2 linked regions of the Canis lupus familiaris genome follow. The protein of the gene in region 1 interacts with the protein of each later gene in a pairwise test. Links are inferred from orthologs where the notes say so. Each region holds a gene or a part of one and is shown in the gene's direction. Other genes may lie near its edges.

What was found. The genes of interacting proteins can lie anywhere in the genome.
Region 2: the proteins of FATE1 (region 1) and NDUFB11 interact in binary tests that used the Homo sapiens proteins (3 or more experiments, as listed by UniProt). The two-hybrid records come from large-scale screens. The link is inferred for Canis lupus familiaris from reciprocal best matches to the Homo sapiens genes FATE1 and NDUFB11.

Annotation. Positions count from the first base shown.
Region 1 is NC_049260.1:120,980,265-120,984,406, forward strand, and holds the start of FATE1 (fetal and adult testis-expressed transcript protein), read left to right. Parts: upstream 1-1,339; 5' UTR 1,340-1,434; coding exon 1,435-1,540; intron 1,541-2,563; coding exon 2,564-2,691; intron 2,692-4,142. UniProt on the Homo sapiens protein: Involved in the regulation of endoplasmic reticulum (ER)-mitochondria coupling. Negatively regulates the ER-mitochondria distance and Ca(2+) transfer from ER to mitochondria possibly implicating it in the regulation of apoptosis.
Region 2 is NC_049260.1:40,947,000-40,950,938, reverse strand, and holds NDUFB11 (NADH dehydrogenase [ubiquinone] 1 beta subcomplex subunit 11, mitochondrial), read left to right. Parts: upstream 1-1,133; 5' UTR 1,134-1,352; coding exon 1,353-1,559; intron 1,560-3,044; coding exon 3,045-3,175; intron 3,176-3,342; coding exon 3,343-3,469; 3' UTR 3,470-3,569; downstream 3,570-3,939. Other genes in the region: RBM10 (RNA-binding protein 10), read right to left, coding at 535-799. UniProt on the Homo sapiens protein: Accessory subunit of the mitochondrial membrane respiratory chain NADH dehydrogenase (Complex I), that is believed not to be involved in catalysis. Complex I functions in the transfer of electrons from NADH to the respiratory chain.

The DNA of each region.
Region 1 (4,142 bases):
CTATTTTCCATAGTGGCTGCACCAATTTGCATTCCCACCAACCGTGCGTGAGGGTTCCTTTTTTTTTCCATGTCCTCACCAACACTTGTTTCTTGTATTGTTGATTTTAGCCATTCTCACAGGGGTGAGGTGATACCTCATGGTGGTTTTGATTTGCATTTCCCTGATGATGAGTGATGCTGAGCATCTTTTCACATGTCTGTTGGCCATCTGTATGTCTTCTTTGGAAATAAGTCTATTCAGGTCCTCTGCCCCTTCTTAAATTGGATTTTTTTGTTTTTCTAGTGCTGACAGTTGTATCAGTTCTTTATATATTTTGCATTTTAACCCCTTCTCAGATACATCATTTGCCCATATCTTTTCCCATTCACTAGGTTGCCTTTCTGTTTTGTTGACAGGTTCCTTTACTGTGCCAAAGCTTTGTATTCTGATTTAGTCCCAGGAGTTTTTGTTTGCTTTTGTTTCCCGATGTTGCATTCTTGAGCAAAATTTCTTCTTCGCTGGAAAACCTCAGTCTTTGCTCTTCAGGCCTTTCAACTCATTAAATGAGGCCTATCCACATTATCAAGGATTAGTAATGTCTTTTACTTAAAGTCCACAGAGTGCAAATGTCAACCAAAGCTCCAAAATAACTTCATAGCAACACCTAGACTAGTGTTTGATGGAATAACTGGGAACTATAGGCTACCCAACGAACAGATAAACTTGACCCTCACAGTGGTCTAATCATTAGGGAAGCTGAGAGAGAATTTGGACTTAGACCAGGGACTGCAGGGCCTGCCTGGGGACAGTGGGCCCTCCAGTGGCTACAGGTAGATCCCTTCTTTCCTGCCCTTCCCTCCTTAGATTCTCATGGTTCCTGCTCAGACTGACCCAAGGCATTAAAAGGCCATCTCCCCTGGGAACTCTACATTGGGGGGAAACAAGATGTGCTCTGTAGAGGATGCCTCCTGAGGGGAGCTGTGGCCTGAAATACTTGCCAGAGCTGGGCTTGCAGAAGCCACAACAAGTTTGGGATCTAACCCTGTTCTGGCTACTGACTGGCTTTGGGGTCCTGTGCCAGTATCTACCTCTCTTTAGAAATGATGGAGAGTAGATCCCACTGGCCCCTCAATGGGGCCAAATCATGTGACCCGAGAGCCAGGGTAGTTCTCACAGGCAAAGTTTCTGAGATAAGTATCAGAAACTCCTCCTCCTAAGTTGCTTACAGAGTAGCAGGGGAGAAGACTGTGAACCAAGCCAATAAGATACAACAGGAACACAAGGTGCTGGGTCCAAGGCCTGAGTCCTGTGGGAGAGTGTGGCTCCACCCCCATGGCCAGATATATCTTCCTCGAGCTCCTGCCCCTGGAAGAGCAGACTTTCCAAGAGTCTGCTCTGTGCCCGGCTTCCTGTGTATCCTGGCTATAGCTTAATAGCTAAGCGCTAGCTGTGATGGCAGGAGGCCCCCCTACTATCAAGGAGGAGATGGAAACATCCATCGCTGAAGAGCTGGTTCCTGGAAACTATGGGAAAAGCCAGGAGCACCTGGTGATAGCAGGTGAGGAGCCCCTGTAATGTCCCTTTCCTTTGGGTGTCTGCACCCAGTCACATGTGTTGGAGAAGGTGTGTTCATGGCTGGGAAGAGTCATATATATGCAAGTATGTGTGGCTATGTGTGTGTCTGTGCCTTGGTGTGCGTATACCTGTATTTGTGCCTTGATGAACAGGAAGCTGGGGGGGAAAGGTATTGATGATGTGAGCATTTTGAAGCCTGTGAGAGAGTAGGATGGGATCCACATGTGTGGTCCTTATCTCCCCCTGTCCAAGCTACCACTGTGTTTATGGCAAAGTATCCAGAGCGCTCAATTTATAAGATCATTCAGACCAATTCTCTCTCCTTTTTAATGCCTTTTCCTCCTTTAGAGTAAAATCCAAACTCCTTTCCTTGATCTACAAGAGCCAGCCAATGCCACCTCCTCAATATATTTCATGCTGTGGTATGATGACCCACAGCACACTGCATTTATACTTGTCCTCATAAGACCCGAAGGCTGATTCTTCCTGATAGCCTTTGTGTTGACTGCTACCTCTGCCTGGGATGCTGTTTTCCTAGATTTTCCATGGCTGCCATCATTTTTGTCTTTCAGGTCTCTGCCTCACAGGTGTTTCTGGCTTTTCTAGAAGTAGCCCTTCCTTCCACCATGTTGCCCTGTTCTTATCATTTTGGGAGCATGTATCTCTTGATCTGAGTTAACACTGATAGATTATACCCATTTTGCACCCCTCACTTCAGCTAAGCACACATAGACAGTTGATTACTAGATTGCTGAGATCTTGTGTCTTGGTCATTGCTCTCCCTCCAGTAACCTAGCCCAGAGTTTGGCCCTCAAGAAATACTTACTAAACTTTTAAACAAATGAACAGACTGAGGCTTGGGATCTGCCAGGGGACAACAGTGAATGAATATTGAATGACTCCTAAGAAGTTTGGGTACCTTATCCTCTTTCTGGTGTGTCCTGTGTCCAGGAAGCCTTGGTATAGCCTCTATGGGTGTTTCTGGGGCCTCTCTTCTTTTGCCTAGAAATGATGGAGCATGGATCCCAGTCTGTGGGTGCTTCTCAGCGGCGACAGAAGGCGGATCCAAAGGCTGCTGGCTCTGCTGCAGGTCAATCGGGTTGGAATATGACTGGCAACCGGAGCAAGAAAGCGGTACTGTATGGAGTCCTTGGCATGCAGTGGCTAGGCTGGGGTTGGGACAACAGACTAAAGGGGCTCCAGCTTCATGACGGTAGGTTGAGCAGAGCCAGATGTTGACTTGGGGCCAAAGGAAAAAGCTTTTGTGTACCAGTGAGGCAATGAAGGCAGGGATGTCCTTTGAGAGGTCAGGGCCATCCTTTGGTAGGCTGGGAGCTCAACCTTGGGTTTCCAGAACACCGGATTCACATATTCCTTGGGGACTACATATACACTTTATTTTGCAAAACTCTATTGTGTGTGAAATGACACTTTCCTTTATAAATAAATAATTCTATATGTATATTTCCTTCCATATCTATATTATCTATATTATCTATATAAATTATAACTATATAAATTATTTAATTATCAACTAAATAATCAGCCTGGAATCATGAGAATCATTGATGAATAAAAGGAAGGAAGGATAGGAAAGAAAGAATCTGTCTGTAGCCATTGGAGGCCCCACTGTCCCCATACAGGTCCTACAGTCTCTGGTCTAAGTCCAAATTCTCCCTCAGCTTCCCTAATGATTAGATCACTATGAGGGTCAAGTTTACCTGTTTGTTGGGTAGCCTGTAGTTCCCAGTTATTCCATCAAACACTAGTCTAGGTGTTGCCATGAAGGCATTTTGGAATTTATTTTATTTTATTTTTATTTTTATTTTTTTAAAGATTTATTTATTTATTTATGATAGAGAGAGAAAGAGAGAGGCAGAGACACAGGAGGAGGGAGAAGCAGCTCCATGCACCGGGAGCCCGACGCCGGACTTGATCCCGGAACTCCAGGATCGCGCCCTGGGCCAAAGGCAGGCACTAAACCGCTGAGCCACCCAGGGATCCCCATCATTTTGGAATTTTAGTTAGCATCTACACTCTGTGGACTTTAAGTAAAAGACATTAGTAATCCTTGATACTGTAGATGGACCTCATCTACGCTATTAAATAGAAATATACATACATAAAACAATATGATTCTCAAGTCTGGAAAAAGATTAAGACAAGTTAGGTTCCTATGTTCCCTGGCTGTTAGGAAATCCAATCAATTGAATCTGACCATTATGTAGCCAATCCTTTAAAGTACCTTTAATGTGGGTTAAGAAAAGCTCTGGAAAACTGGCAGGTACACTGTTACAAAGGATACTGGGAAAAGGTGGTCATTTTGGAGAGGAGGGAGACCTGAGTGTTCTAGGGAATCCCGTGAGATCTCTCACTGTGTAGCCAATCCTTTAGGTTACATTCACTGCTAAGTGAGAAGAAGCTTTGGAAACATGGTTGCTATACTGTTGCAAAAGTTGCTGGAAAAAGAGAACCCAGTTGGAGAGGAGAGGGACCTGACTGTTGAAGGGAGTCATCTGAGTTTCAAGTTCTGTATCCAATCTGTTCCACACTTTCACTGTGAGGGAGGGAAAGCTTTAGAAAAA
Region 2 (3,939 bases), about 80 Mb from region 1:
CCAGTTCCAAGAAGACTCCCTATGGATAAGGACCCTTCCCCATGGATAAGGACCTGAGTTACAGCAGAGACTGCAAGAATAAAGACCAGAGTCATACAGACGTTTTCCCTCCTCCTCCTCCTCCACCCAAGAATAAGAACCAGAGCCACGGAATACTTTCCCATGGACAGGTAAGTGCCCAAGTCACACAGAGAAGACAGCACACCCTCTCCCCTATGGATAAAGACCTCGACCTCTCCACGGATAAAGTTCCGTGTCGCAGACACAGTAAGCCACATTAGCCCACTCTCATCGGTCCCTCCCTTCCCCCAACCCGCGTGCACCCATCCTGTGCTCCAATCGCGCACGCGCCTCCGCTCTCTAAACCGAGGGGGGGGGGAAGACACCCCCCTCCCGGGCTCAGGCCATGCACCCATCTCCTGGTTCCGTGCGTAGCCCAGGCCCACATCCCGCAGTCCGCCCTCGAGCCTCCTCTCCGCCCCCGCCCGCCCCCGGCCCCTTACCTCCGCCCCCACGACCAGCGACGACGCTCACCTTCTCGGCCCGGGCTGTCAAGGGAGGGCTCCCGGACATCACCTCGGCGCGCCGCCACCTCCTCCAACTCTCCCAGCTCAGCCGGAGCCGGCCCGCACCACCGCCAAGTCCGAGGCTGGAGGCAGAAGGGTGGAGGAGCGGGGAGGGGAGAAGCGCCAAGCGCGCTACCCTCCCCAGGAAACCCACTGCCGCCTACTCCCAGCCGGCTGCAATCACCAGCACAAAATGGCGACGACGAGCAGAGAGCCGGCGCTTCGACCACCATCCACCTACTAAGGGAGCGCGCTCTGGCCGGCCTCGTCTATTGGTCGCTGGCCGCCGACGGCCAGCCCTGGCCAGCTCTGATTGGCAAGCGTATGCCACCTCCCCACTCTCCTTGCGAACGCTCGCAAGTCTGGAAAAGGAGTAGCTATTGGCTAATCCCGCGAGGCCCGCTTTTTAGAAGCTTGGCTTCCTTCGAAGATGAAAGACAAACGGAAACTCCGCCCCTTCCCCCAGAGGGCGAGGGAAATCTCCGTGCCATTGGCTGGGACTTGCACCCACCCAAATGTCAACGCTTTCTTATCAAGGAAAGGGGCAGAGTTATCCGCCAGAAACTCCTTAGCCTGACGGGGGGAGGGGGAGGTTAAGAAAATGGTCGCCCCCATGAGGTCATGACAGAGGGCTACTCAGCGCCTCATCTCATTTGAGAAGCAAATCCAATCTCGGGACCTATTTAGTGCGGCGGGGCGGAGCGACAATTGTCGCGCTCGGGTCAACTGCAGCTGCGCACAATCGCATTTCCGTCCCCGCCCCTGAGAGCCTGCAGAACCATTGTCATGGCGGCGGGGCTGTTAGGTCTGGGCGCTCGCCGCCTTTTGGCAGTAGCGGCGACGCGAGGGCTCCCGGTCGCCCATGTTCGCTGGGAATCCAGCTCGTCCAGGGCCGTGATCGCCCCGTCGGCTGTGGCAGGAAAGCGGACGCCGGAACCGACTGTACGCTGGCAGGAGGACCCAGATCCGGAGGACGAAAACCTCTATGAGAAGGTGAGAGGGAGGGGAAACGGGTCGCCAGAAGGGTCAATCGGGGGCCGGTGGACGGGGCGCTGTAGAGGACGTTCTTAGGCGGCTGTGGATTGCGCTGCTGGTGAAATCCTCGAAGACTTGGGAACTTTCCCTAGCTTGATTTCCTTCTTTGTCCTCTGGTAATCTCAGGTCAGGGCCAGAGGCGAGACTGCCTTTATTTTGCAGACATATATCAAACCTGAAGTGAGCAATGCTCAAAACACATTAGAAACAGTACAGTATGACAATGATACTCACATGGTGCTTGCTCAGTGCCCGTGCTCTAAACGCTTGACTTACGTTATCTAATCCTCAAAACAACCCTGTTTAGAAGTAGGTACTATTAGCATACCCATTCTACAGCTGAGGAAACTGAAAAATAAAGATGTTAAGTGACTTGCCCAGACTCGCACAACTGAACGTGTGATCCAACCAGGTCTGCTGGGCTGTGGTGATAGCAGAGACTCAAATCAGAATGCCGGAGTTGGAATACAGGCATTGACAGTTACTCATCTTGGTGACCTTGGGCAAGTAGCTTATCTCCTTGGTGCCTCTTTGTAAAATGGGGAAAGTATTAGGACACCTTCTAGAAAATAAAATACTACATCTGCCTGATGTAATCAAATGGATCAAAATGCTCAGAACAGCAGTTGGTATTTAGTATCCAGCATTAGAAGGTGTTAATTATTGTTGCTACTTTCTGCCTTACTGGGATATTGTGATGTTTGTGTGTGGCACACAGTAGGTTATTCATCAGTACTGTCCTCTGGCTTGGGTATATAGAATGTTTATTCACTTATTCATTCATTTTTGTGAATAAGGAGCCAGGGCCTGTTGTATGCCAGGGGCAGTTCAGGGCTCTAGAGGTTCAGCAATGTGGAAATCAAATAAAGCTCATGCTTTTGTAGAGCTCATATGATAATGGAGAACACAGAAGATAAACATGTAAAATATTTGGAAACAGTAACATTGAGTATGTAATATATAAGACAATGTGTTAGGATCTAGGGAGATGCTACCTTGGTAAACTAGTAACTGCTAGAAAGGAAGTTCAGTAAGATAAATAGATGGAGAGTGACTTAGGGGTAGAGGGTAATTTTATTAGATGAAACTATAGGAAATTGGCTATATTCAACCATTTTTAACCTATAAAAGTGGCAATTTCCTGTAGTTTGGATAAAGTGACTAGGGAATGCTCTCTAAGGGAAGTGATTATGAAGCCAACACTTTGAATGAGGAGACAGATCTAGCTATGACGAGATCTGGAGGAAAGGCTTTCCAGGCAGAGGGAATAGCAAAGGCCCTGTGGTAGAAAGGAGTTTACAACTCCTAAGACTAGAAGGAGGAATTAAATGAGAGAGAGGAGATTGGTCTGAGGTGAAATCGGAGACCAACTGATGTAGGGCCAGCATAAGGCTTTTTGTGGAGCCACAGGAAGCCCTCATTGTCCTCTTCTTCTTGCCATAGAACCCAGACTCCCATGGTTACGACAAGGATCCTGTTGTGGACCTCTGGAACATGCGGGTCGTCTTTTTCTTTGGCTTCTCCATTGTCTTGGTCTTTGGCAGCACCTTTGTAGCTTATCTGCCTGATTACAGGTGCATGGGAATGTCCAAGAGAGTGGAATGGGTGGGGGTGGGGGCGGAGGTTGAAGGGGACTGTGCCAGGAATCCCATTCTTTGTGCCAGTGGGGAAGGGGGAGCTAAGATGGGGATTGGTGTCCAGTGAAGCTCCCTCACATCTTCCCCCATTCCACTGCCTCCAGAATGCAGGAGTGGGCCCGCCGGGAAGCTGAGAGGCTTGTGAAATACCGAGAGGCCAATGGCCTCCCCATCATGGAATCCAACTGCTTTGACCCCAGCAAGATCCAGCTGCCAGAGGATGAGGACTGATCTGTTACCAAGCGGGGCTCAAGAAGCATCACCTTCTCCACTGCCTGCCTGTCGTTCTGCCGTTTCTTTAGAGCACCTAATTAAAGGGACTGAAAGTCTGGCTGGCTGGTGTTGGTTTTGTTGTGTGTGGGGAGGGGGATGTGGGAACAGGGTGTCGGGTCTTAAAAGACCACTGCAGCCTTTTCCGGGTGTTCTGGTTATCTGTTGCTGGGTAACGAACACCATAAGACTCGATGGGTTAAGATGACAATTTAGTATTATCTTCCATGGTCCTGTGGTTGACTGGGCTTTAGCTAGGTGGCTCTTCCTGGGGCCTTAGGTGGTTGTAGTCAGATGGTGGCTGGGGGGCCCAGGGGTATCTGAAGGCTTAACTGGGATGGACGTCCAAGGTGGCTTCTTCACTCACATATCTGGCACTTTGGTGTCCTTCCATGTGGCATCTCTCTCCAGCAGAATAGTCTGAGCTTCTT